Linked DNA regions of Drosophila melanogaster. The protein of the gene in region 2 interacts with the protein of the main gene of each other region in a biochemical or structural test. Each region holds a gene or a part of one and is shown on either strand. Other genes may lie near its edges.

Region 1 (4,644 bases), on a different chromosome or scaffold from region 2:
CAACGAGCTTGTTATTTAAATTCCAATCGATTTGGGTTATAATTTGAGGAAAATTTTTTTTTTTTAATTTTTTTCGCATTTTGATACCTTACGAAAATGCAAAAATTGATCTTAAAATTAATTTCTTAGTATCCGCTTAAAAATGATATGGATCTTTAGCATTGGTAATTATCTGAGCGAAACTGTTTTTCTTTTAGCCATGTGATGATTTTTGGCCAAGTTATAAATTATGGCATTTTTGCCAAATGTCGTTTTTCTGACTTCCCTTAACATAATATATCGATTTTTGGCCAAAACACTTAACAAATTGTAATTATACCTGTTAAGTCCTTAGAGCCAATAATACCTGTTTGCGGTTAAGATTTAGGATTAAGAATCTGCATTTTGTTTTAGCCAACCAATGGACTTTATTTATGTTACCTAATTGGCTTATTTTATAACGGTTCGTATTAGTCAATAATACAGGTAATGTTTGCGTGTTTAATCCTAGAAGCTGCCTTAAAAGTAAGGCTATTTTGAGATGATCATCCCTTATTTTGGCACATTTTATAGGAGAAGTTACCTCTAAATGGTTTTAAATGACCAGCCTGCCTGCTGAGGGTCACTACCTGATTTTCGCGACACGAGGATTAGCGGATTGTGGTAAGGATGAGCCATCTACCTGACCATCTGGATACTAATATTAAAAAAACATATAAAGGCATGCCGCAATCGTGGATAATGTATCATAAGGCCGCGAGATCTCGTCGAGAATGCAGTTACTGTGCTACTTCGTCATCCTTTTCGTTGGAATCGCACCGTGGTCATCCTTGGCCAACGATGATGGATGCAACGAAGTGGTCTGCGGATCGGTGGTATCCAAGTGCCTCATCACCCAGAGCTGCCAGTGCAAGTTAAATGACTGCCACTGCTGCAAGGACTGTCTAAATTGCCTTGGCGAACTGTACATCGAGTGCTGTGGCTGCCTCGACATGTGTCCCAAGCACAAGGATGTCCTGCCCTCGCTGACGCCGCGCTCGGAGATTGGAGACATTGAAGGAGTGCCCGAGCTGTTCGACACCCTAACCGCCGAGGATGACGAGGGATGGTCCACCATAAGGTTCTCCATGCGAGCCGGCTTCAAGCAGCGCGTTCAGGGCGGCGCGAGTGGTGATGCCGGAAACGGAAATGGAAATGGAAATGCCGGGTCTGCAGGTGTCACCCTATGCACCGTGATCTATGTGAACTCGTGCATTCGGGCAAACAAGTGCCGGCAGCAGTGCGAGAGCATGGGAGCCAGTAGCTATCGATGGTTCCACGACGGATGCTGCGAGTGCGTCGGCGAGAATTGCCTCAATTATGGAATCAACGAGAGTCGCTGCCGCGGTTGTCCGGAGGATCAGGACCAACTGCTTACCGCCGATACCGTTCCGGCGGAGGCTGAACAGGATCTGGAGCGATTCTTTGGCAACGAGGAGATCGAGGACGAGTGGGGCTATGGCGAGGAGGATGAATTTTCCTAATAGCACAGATAATTTCAAATAAATGTGGTTCTTCAAATTGGAGCTTGGACCTCATCATAGCAAACGATCTCTTTGTAAATACCCATGTAAAATACCCATGTAAAAATAGCAAGGCATTTGCTAATTTAAGTTTTTATAAAAAAAAGACAACAATAAACTTGGAAATTATAAAAATATTCCTTTTAGTTCTAACAGTGGATCCAGTAAATGTTTCGTAGAATCCATATTTGTGGGATATAATTAATTTGTAAAGTTTTTTGAAATTTGAACTTGCACGGAATTGAGAATTTAAAGGATCAATTTCCCCTCTCTCATTTTAATTAACAGGGGTTACTTTCTTGGTCTGGCAACTCTGTTGGTGGATAAAATGCACACAGTGTTCCCGGACTGTTAAAGCTTCGATCGAAATTGCGGCATTGTTTACGTTTGTTTTGAGTGAAAAGCATTTTCATCCCGGGCATTCCCAGACACTAGCGATGAGGCTGCACCTGGCGGCGATCCTGATCCTCTGCATCGAGCACGTAACCAAGGCAGTCGCCCAGGGAATGCCGATCAGTCCGTGCCCCAAGGTGTTTCAGTACCGCTTCGACGGCAGCGAATGGTTCGGCCTGATGGCCGTGCGCAGTCCGGATGGCCACCAGCCGCTCCACATACGAGTTACGCTCTCGATGCGTGGCAAGCCCACCACGGTAAGTGGTATATTGTCATCCAGATGTTACCTAATCCCCTTAGTACACACAGAACTATCTGGGCGAAATCGAGCTACTCACACGCGGCAAGTTTACCCACAATGCACCGGTGCTGTATAAGATCCGCTTTCCCAAACATCACTTCCCGCCCAAACTGCTCCTCATGTCAGCCAACAATCATGTGATCTGCTTCGGATCCGGCGGTGCGTATCCACGGAACTTGGGTAGCAAACGATTTAATCCATGACTTGTTTGCCCGCACCACAGAGCACAGCATCTTCATGACCCAAATCCAGTTGGAGCACATTAGGAAGTTGTCCTTTATACCGGATAAGAAGAGCTCCCTGCTGCTAGATCCCGAGGAGGAGGAGGTGAGAAAAACCGACGACAAGCCGCCCAGTACGCCGCACATCCAGTTCAAGAAGTATGCATCCGGATTTTGGTCGGTTAAAACACACACACGATCGTGACATTCATTCGTTACTTAATGTCCGCTTTTGTAGAAAACCCTTTGCCCAGGCGCCCAAGGAGATTTGCGGACGCATCGACAGGGATCTGGACTTTCACTTGTCCCAAAGAACGGAATCACTTCATGTCGCAATCGGTGAACCAAAGAGCTCCGATGGCATCACATCGCCAGTTTTTGTCGATGACGATGAAGACGATGTCCTGGAGCATCAGTTTGTGGACGAATCAGAAGCAGAAGCGATAGAAAGCGATAGCGCCGATAGCCTGCCATCGATCACCAGGGGATCGTGGCCTTGGCTAGCGGCCATCTATGTGAACAACCTGACCTCCCTGGACTTTCAGTGCGGCGGTTCGCTTGTCTCGGCACGCGTTGTAATCAGCTCGGCGCACTGCTTCAAGTTGTTCAACAAGCGCTACACATCCAACGAGGTGCTCGTCTTTCTGGGCCGCCACAATCTGAAGAACTGGAACGAGGAGGGATCTCTGGCGGCCCCCGTCGATGGCATTTACATTCATCCCGACTTTAACAGTCAGCTGAGCAGCTACGATGCGGATATCGCAGTGATTATACTCAAGGACGAAGTTCGGTGGGTGCCAATATGCCTAAAGCTTACATATTCAAGATTTAGATTCATATCTAAACCGCGATGTGAAATCGAATATGAAGATCATTTATTATATTGACAGTATACCATTATTTTCAACGCAGATTTAACACCTTTATTCGACCCGCTTGCCTGTGGTCTGGTTCCAGCAAAACGGAGTACATTGTGGGCGAGCGGGGCATCGTCATCGGCTGGAGCTTTGACAGAACGAACAGGACGCGGGATCAGAAGCTGTCGTCGGAGCTACCGGGCAAGAAGTCCACCGATGCCAGTGCACCCAAGGTAGTAAAGGCTCCCATTGTCGGCAATGCCGAATGCTTTCGAGCCAATGCCCACTTTCGCAGCCTATCCTCAAACCGAACGTTTTGCGCCGGCATCCAGGCGGAGGAACGAGATACGCATCAGAGCGGGGCGAGCATTTACACCGGTATATCGGGGGCCGGACTTTTCATCCGCCGGAACAATCGCTGGATGCTGCGTGGCACAGTATCAGCGGCCCTGCCCGCCGTAGAGACACCGGATGCGGAATCTAGCCATAAGCTTTGCTGTAAGAATCAGTACATTATATATGCCGACGTGGCCAAGTTTCTGGACTGGATCACGGCCTTTGTAATTTGAATCACATCCGAAATGTGTATGGGAACGCATTTCTAAGTGAGCGCTGTGATAATAGCCCCTTGGGCATGGCGATGGGCAAAAGTTACTCGGAGTAATTAGCGGTTATCGGTTTTTTCTTTTTTTTTTTTTGCTAGTTTCATTACGAAAACTTCTGATTATGGCATTTCAGTTTTATTTTTATCTAAGACAGTAGGGCAATTCAAATAATAAATTATGGCACGGGAAAGCCAAAAAGGAATTTTCCCATAGAATCGCTGCGCTTTTAGATCTCCACCATAATATTAACATTAAAAATCTCGAAATTTGCAATGTTTAAATTCCTCTGACCACATATAGAAAACGTGTATGTTGAAAGAATCACAGGTATGTTTGATATCGAAATTAATTGTAATACAGTAACGTTTACCATGCCTTTGTTATCAGTGTGTTGTTGGCGCTCGTGAACAAAGGAAGCTGCTAATATGCCGGAGTGGGCGGCCTGGCCCGTCTGAGCGGCGTTCACCCATGGACACCTGGACACCCTAATTACCAGCGGCAGACACTGTACTGCGCAAATGCTGACTACTATCAAGCACGTCATCGCACGTCATCAGCCGCAATCGTCGTCATCGCCATCTGGGCCGTTATCTATCTTGCTGGGTTGTTGGGGCATCGACAGCAGTCGTAGCCATCGACTATCAGTTCCGTCCGGACCGTGGCAGCTGGTGCATCACACCTGGGGCTCTGGGCCCGTCGTCTACGGACATTCGCAATCGTTGAAGA
Region 2 (4,997 bases):
TATAACTTAAATCATTGATTGATAAAACAGCTGGACCACACTCCAGTAATCTCCTGCAAATCATGCTTTACCACCTGAATTTCCAACAATGCCAGAGGTACTTGCACAACTATGACAAACTGGCCAATGGCCTGGGATCGGGTCAAATGTGCGCGGGAGACTACTCCGGCAATATGGACACATGCCAGGTGAGTCAAAAGTTTTTGAAATATTAAATGTTTTATTTGACTGGTGATCTTCGATTTCATCAGGGCGATTCTGGAGGACCCTTGTTGCTCCACCAACACATGCGCCATCATCGCCATACGATACCCTATGTGGTGGGTATAACGTCCTTTGGAGGAGCCTGTGCATCCGGTCAACCTGGAGTTTATGTGCGAATAGCGCACTACATTCAATGGATAGAACAACAAGTATGGCCTTGATTCTTTTGAGAAATTAAATGTGTTCTATGCAATTTCAACTTTTTAAAGATAAATTATTACATTTAAAACAATTGTTGAAAAAATTAAAAATTTTAAAAAGCATATTTAATAAATAAAATAAAATGAAACTAGTGCTGCTTGAAGGCAATCTTCTCAATCCAATCCAGGTAGCTATATAGCCTGGTGTAAACTCCTGGGGCATTGGGAGCCGCACAGAATTTTCCAAACGAGGTGATGCCCACCACGAAGGCCACGCAGTTGTATTCCGGCAGCAGGGCATGAATGGGACCGCCGGAGTCACCCTGGCAGGTGTCCCTGCCGCCTGGCAAATATCCCGCACAGAACTGCCCCTCGATGATTCCCCTGGGCAGACGTCGCTCCTTGCGATAGATCTGCTTGCAGGTCATTTGTGGGACTACGTCCAGGTCCACCTGGCGCAGGGCATTCGATTTGGCGCCCAGGAACTCGGTGCGTCCCCAACCGGCGGCCACCACAGTGGGTATCTGGAGCTCCGGCAGTTGCCACAGGCAAGCAGGACGCACCTGCTCCGAGAACTTGACCCTTCTGGTCAGCTTGAGCAGGGCAATATCGTGGTAATATGCCGAGGATCTGTACTTCGGATGCAGCACGATGATGAGGATCTTGATGTCCTGCTGGGTCGCGCTGGTCTCGTTCAACTGGCGGGCGCCCAAGCGAACCATGTCCGGTGGTTTGCTGATGGAGCAAGAAATACAGTTATAGTTGTGTCTTCGAGGATTCTGTCACTCACCTACCAGAGGTGGCACAGTGGGCAGCGGTCAGGACATACAGTTCGCTAACCAGGGCGCCTCCACAGCCCCATTTTATATCTTGATCCTTGGAGCCACTACCCTGCGTCCATCCTAAGGCAGCCATGTGAGGGAAGAGTCCGTGTCGAGTGGGGGTTCCACCGACTATCAGGGGAACACTGGGCACACACTGCTTCCCGGAGAATGTGCGTCCGGTGTCCGTCAAGTGAAGCCTTCTGGCGGCAGCATTGTACTCCTGACATTCTGGAAAGGATTATCTTTAGGATGTAAACTATTCCGATCCTTCGAAGTCTACCTACTGGTGGCACTTATGCGCTGAGCCAGCACATGCTTGTCCGCCAATGGACAACAGATGACAGGGACATTGTTGCGATGGGTGCAGATGTCGATGCGGGTGCCATGCACCCGATACTCTCGAATGACGTGGAGGCACTGATAGGCCAGGATGCAGTATCCACTCCGGCCATCGAAGCTCCGCCGGCAGAAGGCACCTTCGTGAAGTCCTTCCGAAACCGAAGTCCTAACCTCCGCATCGTCGCCGAACTTCAGATAGCTTTCCTCATCTTCGGTGTCCTGATCATCCACGTCCTCGCCAATGGTCGCCACTGGCTGCTCTTTCCAAACTTCGGGGATTGTGTACTTGGTGGTCTGGTAGTTGATTATTTCAAGGGCATCGAGAGCTGTGGGTTTAATTAATATAATATTAGAGGCACCATTAATATATACGATTGATTTACTACTTACCCTCAAGATTTGGAGTCTGCAGGATTAAATGCAAGCATGTCAATTGAAGATGCACGATTAGAGACCAAAGTATTATCATTCTATTTGTGAGTTCTGTGATTTCATTATTTACTTTCTTTCAAACATTTCATATAAGAAGCTGGCATAAATAATGAAAATAGATACTTTAGGGCTTTGTATATATTTTCCAGATTAAACTATAAATTAACCAATATACCCCAGAGGAATTCAGTTTTTCAGAAGACAATGGCCAAAGAATTTCGATTAGCTTCAATATTTGAGCCACCACTGTGCCCAAAACAAACCCTTGCCTGGCTTGGTTGATTTTTTGTTTAATGTATTTTTATTAATTAATGCGGGCGCTCAATTATAAATTCGGATGAATTTCAATAAAACCGTTTGCCAGCGACGCTGCGTTTCAATTCCGCGTAGTGTGGATTGGAAGATCCCAGTCGGATTAAATCGGTCAATCGAGCAAGACCTCTACAGATGGCGGATTGGAAGAGACCTTTGGAGACCTGCATCGCACTCTGTGTGCTCCTGTGCGTATTTCACGTGAACGGACAGTGGGAGTTTCCCGCCCAGTATCCGGAACCGTATCGAAATCCGAATCCGAATCCAGTGCCGGATCCAACCAGGTGGGACTTCAACAACTACAATAGCTACGGTTACAACGGTCAATGGGCGCCGGGCTACTTTAATAACTACGGCTATTATAGACCGCCGCCGCCACCACCTTCTCCGCCATGTGGAAGACCACCGCCTGGATCTCCGCCACCGGGCCCGCCTCCACCTGGTCCTCCACCTGGTTGCCCCGGAGGTCCAGGAGGTCCGCTGCAGCATCGGCAATGGGACAATGGCCCCAGGCAGTGGCAACCACGTCGTCCGCCACCAAATCACCATCGCAACTTCCACAACATCTTCCTGAACACCGAAAGCAAAGTGGACGGGGAGAACTACAACAAGACCGCGGAGACGGAGGACTTGCACGACGACTTCAATGGCCGATCCATTGTGGCACCTGGACAGTACCCGCACATGGTAAGTAATGAATAAATAAAGGTGCAGTCCAAAAAAAAAACAAAAATCGTAGATCAACGAAGGCCAATAAATAAATAAATAAAATCGCACGAAACCGGAATGGGGGAAACGCCAAAGTACCGCCGTTCGCAACACAAACACGACTAAATCTCCGATTGCCGAAATCCAAATCGAAGTCCACCATATCATATCAGTTAACAGTTAATTGGGTACGACTAATCCGCTCTTTAACCGATCTTAGGCCGCTCTGGGATTCCGGAACGAGAACCACGAGATCGACTACAAATGTGGTGGAAGCCTCATCAGCGAAGAGTTCGTGCTCACAGCTGCTCATTGCCTGACTACTCATGGGTGAGCTTTTTATGGATAACAACTTATAGAGAATTAGGCAGAGTATAGCTTTCTTATCTACATAAACTATCTTATGATACTCAAGAGTAAATACGAAGTCTCCTTAACTTACATATACCCCTTAAAATATCTAAATAACCCTTTGATAGGTATTAACTTTAATTTTTCATTTTAACAAGCAAGTATATTAGATATGATAATATAACAGATTATTAAGAACAGCTTTTGGACAATATCTGGATTATTTTCCTTATAGCACCTCGCCCGACATCGTAAAAATCGGAGACATTAAGCTCAAGGAATGGGAGCTCAACGTGGCGCCCCAAAGACGACGTGTTGCCCAGATCTATCTGCATCCACTGTACAATGCGAGTCTTAACTACCATGACATCGGGCTCATCCAGCTGAATCGACCGGTGGAATACACCTGGTTCGTGAGGCCAGTTCGCCTGTGGCCCATGAACGACATACCATACGGCAAGCTGCACACCATGGGCTATGGCTCGACGGGATTCGCCCAGCCGCAGACGAACATACTCACGGAACTGGATCTCTCGGTGGTGCCCATTGAGCAGTGTAACTCCAGTCTGCCAGCCGACGAAGGTTCTCCCCACGGATTACTCACAAGTCAGATATGCGCCCATGACTATGAGAAAAATCGCGATACTTGCCAGGTGAGGAACATAAGTTTTGGGTAAATTTTAGATATAATATTATTATTTTAAAGGGCGATTCTGGAGGACCGCTTCAACTGAACTTGGAACGTCGGCGTCGAAGGCACACAAGTCGTAAACACTATCGCTACTACCTGGTGGGCATCACATCGTATGGAGCATATTGTCGCAGTGAACTTCCAGGTAAATATATAAAAATATATTAAAATATATAAAATGTATAATACTTTTACAAATTCATTCATTTTACAGGTGTTTATACGCGTGTTTCATCCTATATCGATTGGATAGCATCCATAGTGTGGCCTAATTATTATAGCGAATTTACTAATCAATAAAAAGCAGTCTATAAAATGTCACAAACAAAAAGTTGTAAAAAAAAGAAAATTTTAATTTTAATTAAAGCATAGCAAAAAGTACTTTATCTAGGTCTTTTTTTGTATTGTTAGATTGATTGCATTTGTTGCTAGGCACCGCGGTGTGCTGAAATGGTTTATTTAATCAATAATTGCGTTTTGATATGCAAAAAAGTTAATAATGGTAGGGAAGAGCAAAAAGAAGCGTAATAGCAAGGATTCTACATCCAGTAATGCAGGAAGTGGCGAAGGCGAGGAGAAGAAGAAGAAAGAGGGCGGCAAGAAGAAAGGAGGCGTGGGAAAGTCCATTGGTTGCGACATTTTCAATGACGCCGCCATGGAAAACGCCTACTATGTCTGCCATAATGTTCAGGTAAGTCATTACTTAAAGTACATAATCTATTAAAAATAAAAAAAAATATGTAAATTATTTTAGGACGTTCTGAAGTCAAGAGGATTTGCTTGGCCGGATGGCCAAAAGAAGAAAAAGAAGGGAAAGCGCTAAGCGGCTAAATAAACCATTTAAATAAGTGAAATAATTTTAGTTATTTTTTATAAAAATATTCTTGCAATTAAGCTTATGGTATAAATGATAGTGTACTTCCCCCTTGGCCTGGA

Evidence for each region. Proteins that work in one complex are often made in the same cells at the same time.
Region 1: of the proteins of snk (region 2) and gd, one has a biochemical effect on the other in vitro, tested with the Drosophila melanogaster proteins (one study listed by BioGRID).

The regions. Positions count from the first base shown.
Region 1 is NC_004354.4:11,985,021-11,989,664, reverse strand, and holds gd (gastrulation-defective), read left to right. Parts: upstream 1-1,900; 5' UTR 1,901-1,978; coding exon 1,979-2,191; intron 2,192-2,234; coding exon 2,235-2,394; intron 2,395-2,458; coding exon 2,459-2,615; coding exon of another isoform or gene 2,616-2,633; intron 2,634-2,694; coding exon 2,695-3,246; intron 3,247-3,368; coding exon 3,369-3,882; 3' UTR 3,883-4,131; downstream 4,132-4,644. Other genes in the region: tsg (twisted gastrulation), read left to right, coding at 753-1,502. UniProt on the Drosophila melanogaster protein: Component of the extracellular signaling pathway that establishes the dorsal-ventral pathway of the embryo.
Region 2 is NT_033777.3:13,039,646-13,044,642, forward strand, and holds snk (snake), read right to left. Parts: upstream 3,126-4,997; 5' UTR 3,094-3,125; intron 2,999-3,093; coding exon of another isoform or gene 2,447-2,998; exon of another isoform or gene 2,405-2,446; intron 2,098-2,404; exon of another isoform or gene 2,097-2,097; 5' UTR 2,037-2,096; coding exon 1,958-2,036; intron 1,894-1,957; coding exon 1,513-1,893; intron 1,457-1,512; coding exon 1,195-1,456; intron 1,140-1,194; coding exon 554-1,139; 3' UTR 520-553; downstream 1-519. Other genes in the region: CG11668 (uncharacterized protein), read left to right, coding at 31-188, 252-425; CG11670 (uncharacterized protein), read left to right, coding at 2,447-2,998, 3,240-3,349, 3,606-4,023, 4,077-4,206, 4,276-4,361; CG45122 (uncharacterized protein), read left to right, coding at 4,561-4,752, 4,816-4,884. UniProt on the Drosophila melanogaster protein: Component of the extracellular signaling pathway that establishes the dorsal-ventral pathway of the embryo. A protease cascade involving ndl, gd, snk and ea results in activation of the spz Toll receptor ligand; acts downstream of ndl and gd.